Elephas maximus indicus: one gene and its partner. The protein of the gene in region 1 interacts with the protein of each later gene in a biochemical or structural test. Links are inferred from orthologs where the notes say so. Each region holds a gene or a part of one and is shown in the gene's direction. Other genes may lie near its edges.

The links.
Region 2: the proteins of LGALS3BP (region 1) and LGALS1 form a complex in vitro, tested with the Homo sapiens proteins (2 studies listed by BioGRID). The link is inferred for Elephas maximus indicus from reciprocal best matches to the Homo sapiens genes LGALS3BP and LGALS1.

What each region holds. Positions count from the first base shown.
Region 1 is NC_064837.1:68,869,163-68,875,141, reverse strand, and holds the start of LGALS3BP (galectin-3-binding protein), read left to right. Parts: upstream 1-2,769; 5' UTR 2,770-2,896; intron 2,897-4,782; 5' UTR 4,783-4,804; coding exon 4,805-4,856; intron 4,857-5,545; coding exon 5,546-5,737; intron 5,738-5,979.
Region 2 is NC_064822.1:181,567,737-181,573,715, forward strand, and holds the start of LGALS1 (galectin-1), read left to right. Parts: upstream 1-2,927; 5' UTR 2,928-3,102; coding exon 3,103-3,111; intron 3,112-4,415; coding exon 4,416-4,495; intron 4,496-5,588; coding exon 5,589-5,760; intron 5,761-5,979. UniProt on the Homo sapiens protein: Lectin that binds beta-galactoside and a wide array of complex carbohydrates. Plays a role in regulating apoptosis, cell proliferation and cell differentiation. Inhibits CD45 protein phosphatase activity and therefore the dephosphorylation of Lyn kinase.

The sequences.
Region 1 (5,979 bases):
TAGCTTTCAGTGGGTCCGATCCTTTAACAGCTTAGAGAATTTTTTCTTCTTGAGGATTGCTGTGACTGTGAGTGAAACATGCCTAAATCCGGTACGTCCTGTTCTCCAATACAGATTTCTAAACTCTGTTATAACCTATGGGACCACAGATGTTTATGGGGTCAGATGTTGCCCAAATGGACGTTATGTGGCACATGACTGTCTATGAGCGACAAATAAGCATTTGAAAAGACGCTTAACATCATTAGTCATTAAAACCACAGACAGACTCCTCTAGATAGCCACTAGAGTGGCGAAAATGAAAAGGACCGGAAGTACTGAGTGTTGGTGAGGGTTTGGAGTCACTGGAACGCTCCCGCTGCTGGTGGGAATGGCGGATGCTGCCATTGGAAAACAGTCTGGCCGTTTCTTCAAAAGTTAAATATACATTTACCATATTGTTACCCAAAGCAGGTGCTGCTCGGTGCGACTTCTCAATAAAGACACGCCGAGGTGAGGAGCAAGGAAGAGCGTCTATTGCAAGCATGCAAGCAAGGACCGAGGAGGTTATCCTGAAATCAAGCTCGCTGAGCGAAGACAGGCAGAACATTTTATACAGACTCTTGCAAGGAAGTACATGCAAACGTTATGGACAGCATAGGTTATCATGGCACCCAGGCACAATTAGACAAATTGCATTTTTTTCCTCTGTCATGTAGGCTAGTAAACTGGCTTTGACTGGCTTGAGCCGCACCCAGTGCTTGGAGTACAGTGGACAGGAGGGACGGGTTTCAGCTGAGCCACACCCAGCATCTGGCTATCTTGACATGATCCAGTAACCTGACTCTTAGGTATTTACAGGAAAGATATAAAACATGTTCACACAAAGGCTTGCATCCAATTGTTCATAACAACTTTGTTCATGATAGTAAAAAAATAGAAAAGACCCAAATATCCATCAATGAACAAATGCCTAAACAAACTGCGATCTACCCACGTGACGGACTACTACTTCGCAAAAAAAATGAACACATTACTGATATTCACAGCACCACGGAGGAATCTCAAAAGCATTCTGCTACAAAAGATTACATCCTGTATGGTTCCATTTATATGAAATTCTGGAGCCCTGGTGGCACAACGATTAAGCGCTTGGCTGCTAACTGTGACATCGGTGTTTGGAACCCACCCAGGGGCTCCGCGGGAGAAAAGACCTGGGAATATTCTCCCATCAAAATTACAGTTTAGGAAACCCTGGAGTGCAGTTCTGCTTTGTCACATGGGGTCGTAATGAGTCGGAATCAACAACGAGGACGACATAGTGGCAGTAAGCAGAGCAGTGGTCGCCAGGGGCGGGGGCTGGCGAAGGGGATTGACCGCAAAGGATTTTAGAAGAGAACTTTTGAGGACAATGGAAATGTTCTTTATCACAGTGGTGATCATGGTCGTCAACTGTAGGCTTTGTCAAAGCTGAATGGATGTACACTTAAACTCCATGCATTTTATTGTTACGTAAATTATGTCTCAATAAAGAAAAAATGTGTGTTTGAATCCCAGCACTTCTTCACCTTCCAGCTGTGTAACCTGGGGCAGAGTATGTAACCTCTCTGTGCCTCCACTTCCTTATCTATTGCAGGGATAAGAAGAGCAGCTGCTTCCCAGACTGGCTGGAAGGATTAAGTGAACTCATCCCGGTCAAAGGTTTGCAGTGGAGCCTGGCTCAATAGATACTGGAGTCCCTGGGTTCTGCAAGGAAACCCCGATGGTGCAGTGGTTAAGAGCTATGGCTGCTAACCAAAAGGTCGGCAGTACAAATGCACCAGGTGCTCCTTGGAAACCGTATGGGGGCAGTTCTACTCTGTCCCATAGGGTCCCTGTGAGTCGGAATCGACTTGATGGCAACGGGTTTTGGTTTTGGGTTGTGCAAACAGTTAACGCATTCAGCTGTTAACTGAAAGATTAGGGGTTCGAGTTCCCCCACACCCGGCCATCTGCTCCCAAAACATCAGCCACTGATGGAGCACAGGTCTACTCTGACGCACATGTGGTCGCCATGAGGAGGAGTTGACTCCTTGTCAACTGGTTACCGGTCAAATATTAGCTATTATAGTCAGCACTCCCGCGTTCGGTGAGACGGAGCAGAAGCAAAAAAAAAAAAAGTGTCTCCAACAGCACCCAGCCTTTCTCCAGCAGCGCCTTGGGAATGGCTTCCCTGCCAGATTAGCCTCCAATGGTACCACCTTTGGGCCCTGCTTTCTTGAGGCCTCAACAGTCTTCTTATCAGAACCGAGCCAGCCCTCTCCCTCCCCGTCTCCCTGAAGCTATCATCTCACACCGCCCCTCCCCTCCCCCTCCTTAAGCACTTCCTTTTGGGGGTCTCAGGAGGTTGGAAAACCTTTGAGAGCCCAGGGGAGCCGATATTGGTGCTGGTTCTGGGATACGGCCTTGGGACTTTAAATTCCGCCTGCCTGGACCCCGCTCTGTCTGTCCCTAAAGTCTCCCCCAGCCCCCCCACCACATCTGCTGCTGCCCCCTCCTTCCCTCCCCCAGCACAGTGCCTGGCACATTGGTCCAGCTTGGAAGGTTGTCTAAATTCCGAAATAGTCATCCCTGTCTGGCTCTGGGAGTTGCTGCAGGTTACCAATTCAGCCAGAATCCATCCTTGGACTGCTGCCATTCCCAGCACCCACACTGGAGCTGAGAAAAGGAAGGGGCCCCAGGGACTCTGCGTGGCAGCCAACCCCTGGAGAAACACAGGTCATGTGATTCCTAGAAATTGAAACTGAACAGTTTCCTGAAGCATTTCCTGACCACGCTCCACACAGGAGGGTTTTTGAGCCCGAGGACAGGCCCACAGCAGGCTCCTGCAGCGGGAAGGCACAAGGCTCCAGGACAGCCACAGGAGTTACCTGGGCAGGTAAGCACCTGTCTCTCCTTGCTCCCAGGTGGGCACCCTTCTCTCTACACAGTGGGGGCCAAGCATACTGTGTACACAGACCCGGGGCTAGGGGCAGGGTGCTGCTCCCAGAAGATCCGCAGGGCCACCCCATACAGTTGGGCAGACTGTTCACTGCACGAGGCACCAGCCAAGGGGGCAGTGGCAGGGTAGCCTCTCACAGTCTGCGTGCTACCCTGACCCACCCGCCCGCAGGAAGCGCACCTTTGCCTGGTTTGCAGGCAGGTGACTTCCCACCACGCATTCACCTAGGGCTTGATTGGCCATTTCCTCATGGCCCTGAGCTCCTGTCCAGGCTATCCTAGGAGCAGGGCGGGTGACCAGTTGTTCTGGTGTGCCCAGTCACCTGGCCCTTCAGCCGTCTTCTGAGAAGACTGCAGTGAATCGAGGTTTGCCTTACTCATTAGCCTGTTTCAGTGGCTTTGCTTAGAAGCTTGTTAGCTATAAGACGTTTCTTGGTCACGGTCAGGATTCTGTGAGCTTGTGCTTTGAGCAGGGCTGGCACAGGTCACCCCTCAAAGCTTCCTGTGCCCCCTGGGGGTCTTATAAATGCAGGCATCCATGCCACATGTTGCCTCCAAGGTCACCAGGCCCTGATCTTGTCTCCGTGCTCAGCAGTGCCACAGTGGCCTGGTCCTTGGCCTGGTCCTGGGCTTGCTGGACAGCAGAGAGCAGTGCTAGGGGGCATCCATGATTCTTGCTGGGCCAGAGGGACGGTGACCTGTCCGGCCCGTTCACATGCACAGGATGTGGGGTGGGGAAGCAGGTTAGGATGTAGCCGGGGGCGACAGGCTGCTGCCAATGATGGAACGATCAAGAGTGGAGAAGAACGTGGAGACCAAAAGCCTGGTCCTCCCCAACCTTGCCCCCGCTGGCTGAGTGGCCTGGTGGTTCCACATCCCCAAGCCTTGGCTTCATGAGACAGTAGGCCAGCTGACCTCAGGGGGTCAGCAGCACCATGTCCATGCCGAGCCTGCTCACCATACTCCCCAAACCAGGGGTGGGTTAGCCAGCAAGCGCAGTAGGCGCTGGTTTGCAGTAAGCGAGGCGTGCACGGGCTTAATTGTGCTCACAGACTAATCTATAGTGAACAATTTCACATGAGTTTCACCAAATCTTTGGCATGGTATAAACCAGGTGAAGCTGTTCACTACAGATTAGTCAGTAAGCACAATTAAGCCTGTGCGTGCCTTGCGATCCCCGCCCCTGCCCTGTGCCCCTGTCCTGGCTCCTAATTCGGCCCCCTCCCCCCCCACACTGCGACCCCTCCTCTCCATCACCCCCACCCAACACCACCAGCCCACACTCCTCGCTGCCAGTGTTTCAAGCCTGGACTTCTGGGGTGCCTCCCGACAGGCCCCCTGCTCTGCACGCTGCAGCCAGGGAACCTTTGTCCCCTCAGTCACTGTGGGCATGCCTGCGAGGGTCAGTCACCTTTGTACACAGCCCTGGTTTCTAATGAGACTCACCGGGCCCTCACCATCTGGGCCCTGCAGAGCCGCACCCCCTCCTCAGCCCTCCTCATCCAACACCACATGGCAGCCACACACAGGCCCAGCATTGGGAGATACCCGCTGCCTGGACCCTCCAGCCCCCCCTCTTCACCTGGCTGAGTCTTACTCAGCCTGAAGACCAGCCCTCAGTTGGGGTGAGGGCTCTGCTGGGTCCCCACCTTCCCTGCGTCTCTCATGCTCACTGCCTGCAGAGGGCCCTGGAGGAGCAGGACCCGCAGGCCTCTTGGCTCCTTCCTAGCCTGGCACCTGGGCCTCAGCAGGTCAGGGCTGCAGGGGGCATGGCCCTGCTCTGAGGACCGCCCCCCCCCACCACCGTGTCTTCCTCTGCCATAGGATCGAGGCTCCAGGTACTGCCATGGCACTCCCTGAGCTCCTCTGGATATGGCTGCTCGTCGCAGGGACCCACGGTGAGCTGAACCCCTGGGAAGACGGGAGAAAACATCAGTTAAGCAGCTCTTCCTCCATCTGAGGCTACACTCCCGCCCTTCAGAAAATGCCAGCAAAGATTCTGCTGGTGGCCTGGGTCTCCCCTCCTGCTCAAAACCCCAGTTGTCCCTGGTGATGGGGGCTTGTGGGTTCTGGGCAGGAGGCCTGGGCTCCCCATACTCTCCCAGCACCCCTGCGGCACCCTTCTTGTGGGCCATCATGCTGGTGTGGGGCCTCCAGGAAGAGGAAGGGGCTCCCAGTCTCCCTGTGTGACTGTCTCCAGGCCCAACTACAGACACCACAGAGAGGATCAGCCTGGGCACCCTTCCCTGCCCCTCTTCCTGCCACCTGGCCACCTCTTCTCCAAGTGCTGGGCACAAAGGGGGGACCCCAAACACAAGGCTAGCTTACCTCTGTGTTGGGGGGTCTGTGAGTATCTCCTGCTCCTCCCCAGTGGGTGACCTCCCCCGAGGACGGGCAGGGGACTTCAAAGTGGCAAAACCAGACCCCCAGCTCACTGGTCAGCAGTTCAGCCCTAGGTGGACAGAGCTGCCACCATGAAAGCACACGGCCCGAGAGCAGTGGGCAGCAGATGGGCCTAGGGTGGGGCCAGGTGCCCTCCCATCATCCTGTCTGATCTTTGCTCCCCTCTGCCCCCACGAGCCTGCAGGCCTGGAGGACGGCACCATGAGGCTGGTGAACGGGGACTCGGCTAATGAGGGCCGCGTGGAGGTCTTCTACAGAGGCCAGTGGGGGACCGTGTGTGATGACGGCTGGGACCTGGACGATGCCCACGTGGTCTGCCGCGCCCTGGGCTTCGAGAATGCCACCCAGGTTCTGAGCAATGCTGCATTCGGGCAAGGTAGGGCCTCTGCTTCCGGGTCCTCCAGAGCCAAGGCCGCAGCCCACCTACGAGTCCACTTGGAGGGCACAGCAGACATCAGTGACACGCAGGCTTTCCTCCTGCTAATTGAACATCCGCTGACGTCTTCGGTGACGCCGAAGCCCTGCGGATAGGCTTTGATGGCTCTGGCTCACTCCTTCCGCCCTGGCCTCACAAAGGCTCCTAGGCACGGGGTTCAAGCGCTCAGCCACGTCCTTCCC
Region 2 (5,979 bases), on another chromosome or scaffold:
CAGAGCCCGTGGGAGCCCAACGAGCAGACTGTAGGGAAGCACCAGGTGTCCTTGCTCCAGGTCCCTGCCTGAAATGCCCCAGGACTCCACAGGGGAAGCGCTTGCAGAGGAACACAGGAGAAAGGCAGTGGAGTGCCCCCTGTTGAGCCCTACTGAGCCCTCCCTAGACTGAGGTTTTGGGGAGGACCCGGAGGAAAAAGCGAAGCTGCTGCGGTTGGTTAGTAAGCCAGCCAGCTTGGTCTAGATGGGAGGGTACAGGCCCACAGGGGTGCAGCCCAGCCCCCTTTCAGGGCCAGCTTTGGCCCCACCAGGCCCCTCTCATCTTGCACCAGGGCGGACTTCAGTCATCTGGAGGAAGGGGCCCCGCCAGGTGGAGGCAGAGGAGGCGGGGCTGGGCGGCAGGGCAGGACAGGGCAGGGCAGGGTGGGTTTGCTGGCCCCGCAGCCAAATGTGAATCACCGCTAGGTCTGAATCTTCCTCCCTCTTTGGTGCTGGCAGCTTTGGAAAGGGGAGTATGGAGAAGGAGGTCCTCAACACCCCTCCAGCAACACTCCCCTTGACTAGTGCTCCCCACACCCCTCCCTCCACCTGGTTCCTGGGTGTGAGGTGAGCCCCCCTCCAGCCCACCCTCCACTCTATTGATAGTAATTTTCCCTGCAGCCCAAATCTGGTCCCAATATTCCCCTCCCTTTTTATAACCTACCCTATACGAAGAAGAGCTGGGCATCAGGATTGGAGGAAGATTCATTAACAACCTGTGTTATGCAGATGACACAACCTTGCTTGCTGAAAGTGAAGAGGACTCGAAGCACTTACTGATGAAGATCAAAGGCCACAGCCTTCAGTGTGGATTACACCTCAACATAAAGAAAACAAAAATCCTCACAACTGGACCAATGAGCAACATCATGATAAACAGAGAAAAACTGAAGTTGTCAAGGACTTCATTTTACTTGGATCCACAATCAACACCCATGGAAGCAGCAGTCAAGAAACCAAAAGATGCATTGCATTGGGCAAATCTGCTGCAAAGGACCTCTTCAAAGTGTTGAAGAGCAAAGATGTCACCTTGAAGACTAAGGTGCACCTGGCCCAAGCTGTGGTATTTTCAATTGCATCATATGCATGTGAAAGCTGGACAATGAATAAGGAAGACTGAAGAAGAATTGATGCCTTTGAATTGTGGTGTTGGCGAAGAATATTGAATATACCATGGACTGCCAGAAGAACGAATAAATTTGTCTTAGAAGAAGTACAACCAGAACGCCCCTTAGAGGCAAGGATGGCGAGACTGCGTCTTACATGCTTTGGACATGTTGCCAGGAGGGATGAGTCCTTGGAGAAGGACATCATGCTCGGCAGAGAACAGGGTCAGCAGAAAAGACAAAGACCCTCAACGAGGTGGATTGACTCAGTGGCTGCAACAATGAGCTCAAGCATAACAACGATTGTAAGGATGGCCCAGGACCGGGCAGTGTTTCGTTCTGTTCTGCATAGGGCTGCTGTGAGTTGGAACCAACTTGACGGCCCCTAACAACAACAGCAACATAACCTACTGTGGCTCCCCAGCACCCTCAGAAAATACAATGTCCAAGCTCTTTACCTGGCCCGCGAGGCCCTTCATGATCCAGCTCCTGTTGGCTTCCCAGCCTCACCCCCCGTCTCCCCCTACATCCCCTAAACTCCAGCCGTGCCTAGACGCTCACGTTCCCCAGGTCTGTGCTTCCTCACCTCCGAGCCTTTGCCCATGCTAGAATGCCACCTCCTTCATCCATCCTTCAAGACCCACCTTCTTGGCATCTGGACAGTCTCCAGCCCCCACGGCACTCGGGCCTGACTTCCCTTTAGCTCTCATCATACTCTTCATTTTTTTTTTTTTATTGTGGTGAAACTATACATAAGAAAACATACACCATCTCAACAATTTCCAATGGGCAATTCAGTGACACTGAGTACATTCTTCAAGTTGGGCAACTATTCCAATCTTCCTTTTCCCCAAATCATCCCAGCACCGTTGACATAAACTCACGGCCCCCTAAACCATGCTGCTTCTTAATCACGTTCATGGTTGGATTCTGCCTGGAGAGCGGCTCCATGGCAGGGACTGGGAGGGGTTCATCTTGAATCCTCAGAGGCCACCCCCGGGGCCAAGGCTTCAGGGGGTTGCTCAGTAAAACATCTGCTGTATGGATGGCAAAAGGAAGGACTGTGCCTGGCCTTGGTGGGGGAGATGTGCGTGGGGGTGCACAGAGTGGGGACCCCAGCCCCTCACAATCTGGTCCCCCTTGGGCCCCTCTCGGGCTGACACTCTCAGACAGCCTGGGCTGTCTGAGGAGCGCCAGCTGGCCCCTCACGAGGGCTGAAGCCTGAGGCCCGAGCCAGGGCTGGCGGCCTCAGGCCTGGCACCCAGCCCAACCTTTCTTTTTTTTTTTTTTTTTTTTTTTATAATCCAACCTTTCTTTAGCCCTAGTAAGGAACACAGGCAGCAGCCGCTATCTCTGCTTCCGGGGGAGGCCCGGGTGGGGCCAGGCCTCGTGGTTAATGGATCCTCCCACCTGCAGAGGCCCACAGAGCCGGCCACACCCTGGCCCCTGCCAGGAAGCGTGCAGCATCACCTACCCAAGCTCCAGTCACTGAAGGACCTGCATCCCCTCAGCCATCTTCTCTGGGTACCCCCAAGCTCAGCCTGCTGGCCCCAGGCCCCCTTCCCGCCAACTCTTGGGCCTAGCTCATCCTCAAACTATTTTCCATTGGCTTCCTGCAATCCCTGCCACAGCATAATTCTGGGGGGATGGGGTGGGATGGAGGAGGAGACTAGGGAATGGAGCTTGGACCCTGGGGGTGTGGCTAAAAAGGGGTTGAGGGGGTGTCACTCTGATTGGTCCTCTCTGCTCCAGAACTGGCTTCAAAATTCCACTGACCCCGCCTCTGGTGGCCCACAGCCATGTCCTGACCTCCAATTGGCCACGCTTCCAGGGGGCGGGACTCACCAGGGTCTGGTCCAGTTAAAAAGGTGGGAGCGGCCCGGGACCCATCTCTCCTCTCGGTGGAGTCTTCAGACAGCTGGTGCAGCGGTCCCAGGATCACCTTCTACCCTCAGCCATGGCCTGTGTGAGTGTGGGTGCCCCACCCCAAAGCCCAGGGAATGAGATGGGAGCAGTGGGCAGATCAGAAGGTCGGGTCTAGTTGTATCTGTGTGATCTTAAGCAAGTACCTTCGGTTTTCTGGGCCTCAGTGGCCATGTCTGTAAAATGGAGGTGGGTGCTATGGTCCCCAAAGGCCCTCTGGAGCTTAAGAATTTTCTGGATTTCTCTGGGGCCTGACAGCACAGTTATTTCTGCCTAGGTCTTACATTCTGCAGCTCTGTAGCTCTCTGAGAAGTGAGAGTGGAAGGGTGTGGCCAGCTGGGGGGGGGTAAGATGGCACATTGGTGACGTCCAGGCACTGTCCTCTTCCCCTCCTCCACCTCCAAGAGCCTCCTGTCCCCTCCCCCCTGCAGCTGTCTCCAGTCACCACGCCAGGACAGAGTCAGGCCTCTGCTCCAAAGAGCTCTGAAAAGTCAGAGCCAGGAGCAGAGACAGGCTGCTGGGGAGGGAGCCTGCTTGGGCTGAGGGGATGAAGGATGGTTCTGGCCCCGCTGAAAAAAAGTGGGGCTGAATTTCAAGCCACCCACTCCCTCGAGGTGGGAGGTGGGGGATGGTAAGGGAGAGAGAAGGAGTGAATCTTCCCCAGGCCCCCAGGGAAAGGGTTCAAGTTTCTGGCAGAAGGAACCACTCATACCCACTAACTCCTGCCACCCAGCCTTGGGCACCACGGGTGGCATGCTAAGTGGGAGGGCAGCTCCACCCACCCCAAGCTTCCTGGGCTGCAGATTCCGGACCTTGTTTGTGCTCCCCACTCCTTTGAAGGGCCTGGCCATGCTCCTGGGGGTCTCCCACAGGGCCTTGAAGAGGATGACGGGGAGCCCCCAGTGGCGGCCATGGCCTCTTCAGAGGGGACCCACCTACCTTCATTTACCTTCCGTTGGACCAGGTGCCAGGAGCCCTACTATCAACTGCCCATCCCAGCCTGGTTCTCGCCCTCTGTTAAATGAGGAGATGGCATAGCACCTTGCCTCCAAGGCCACTCTGAACCCAATCCCCCGCCCCCGGAGCTGAACCTTAAAAAAAAAAAAATTTTTTTAAAGCTTATAAATCCTGTTTTCTAGAAGCTCACCCAGGTTACAGATAACAGACCCTGCTGGGCGTAGGGACTTAGCCAAGGCCACACAGGTTCCCAGACTCCCTAGGCTCCCAGTTGGCCTGGTCAGAGGATGCAGGGTGGGGACGACCCCCGCCCCCCGCCTCCGCCCGGGCAACTGGGGGCAGCGGAGTCCCGCGTCCTCTAACCGACCGGGCGGGGTCTTGTCTGCGCAGGGTCTGGTCGCCAACAACCTGAATCTCAAACCCGGGGAGTGCCTCCGAGTGCGGGGCGAGGTGGCCCCTGACGCCAAGAGGTGAGGGGGCCAGGCGGGGTGGCAGGAGGTCAGGGGGCCAGGCGGGGTGGCAGGAGGTCGGGGGCCAGGCGGGGTGGCGGGCGGAGGGGCGCTGCCCAGGGTCCAGCCGGGCGTGGCTGGTCTGGGCGTGGCCGCTGCGGCTCTGCTCCTCCTCCCGGCCCGGAGGGGGTCAACGTGGCCGCTGGCCGAGGCTGCGTTTTCTGGGTGACTCACTTTCTCCGCGGGGTCTGGGCGCCCCCGCCATTGTCGCTTCCCCTCCCCCCTTCCCCCTTAAACGAAACCAGCTGCAACCAGCTGCGGCCTCGTCATCTCCCTCGGCTTGGCCCCTTCCCCCGCCCTGGGTGGGCAGGGCTGTAGCTGGAGAGGGAGGGCAATGAGAGGTGTCACCCCCAGGGCCCTCCCTCTGTGGTCCTTCCTTCCTGCGTTTGCGTTTGGTCATTCATTCGCTCAATCTTTCCTTCCTCACCCCTTCCTTCACTCATTCATTTAGCCAGCTGGCCTGTTTTCTCAGCAGCGGAGTGACCTTGGACCAGTCAGCCAACCTCATCCAGTCTCAGTTTGTTCTTCAGTGAGACAAGGGGAGGTTGTCGGCTGAAAGGAATGCGATGCTGGCCATCTCAGTGACCAGGGTGATGATGTCTGGCCAGATACCCCAGTGCAGAAACTCTTAATTCTTACCAAACCCTTAGGTTATCTCCACTCCAACAAAGATATTATTTATTCATTCGCCCCACAATTATTGAGTGCCTTTTGTGTGTCATGTAAAGTACTGAGCACCAGAGATACAGAGACATACAAGGCAGACAGGACACTTGCTCCCTCCTGCCCCCAAATGTCGCCATCTGGAGGGACTCTCTGCCCTTGAGCAAAGGCACTGGGACACAGACTAGTGTCCATGAGAGTCTTGCGGCTGTCAGCAGAGCAAGACCTTTAGAGACCCTTCTTGGCTGCCCCCATTCTACAGATAAGGAAACAGACCCAGAGAGGGGCAGACTTGCTCCAGGTCACACAGCAAGTAGGTAGCAATGAGTTCTCCCAGGTAGCTGCACTCATGGTAGCACTGGGTGGAACAATCCTACCACTTTTCCCCTAGCTTCGTGCTGAACCTGGGCAAAGACAGCAACAACCTGTGTCTACACTTCAACCCTCGCTTCGATGCCCACGGGGACGTCAATGTTATCGTGTGTAACAGCAAGGATGGTGGGGCCTGGGGTACCGAGCAGCGAGAGTCAGTCTTCCCCTTCCAGCCTGGCAGCGTCGTGGAGGTGGGCTGGGGACCGGGGCCCGGGGGCTGGGCACTGGGTAGGCTGGGGTGGAGCTGGGTTAGTGGCTAGAGGCCCAGGCCTCGCCTACCATCTCCTCCCTCACTGTGTGATCTCCGGTGAGTGTCATCCTCAGCAGCCCCACCCGCAAAGCTGGGCTGTTGTAAGGGCTGCATGGAGGAAAGGGTAGGACACAGGCCGTGGCTGTGGCCGCAGCGCCAA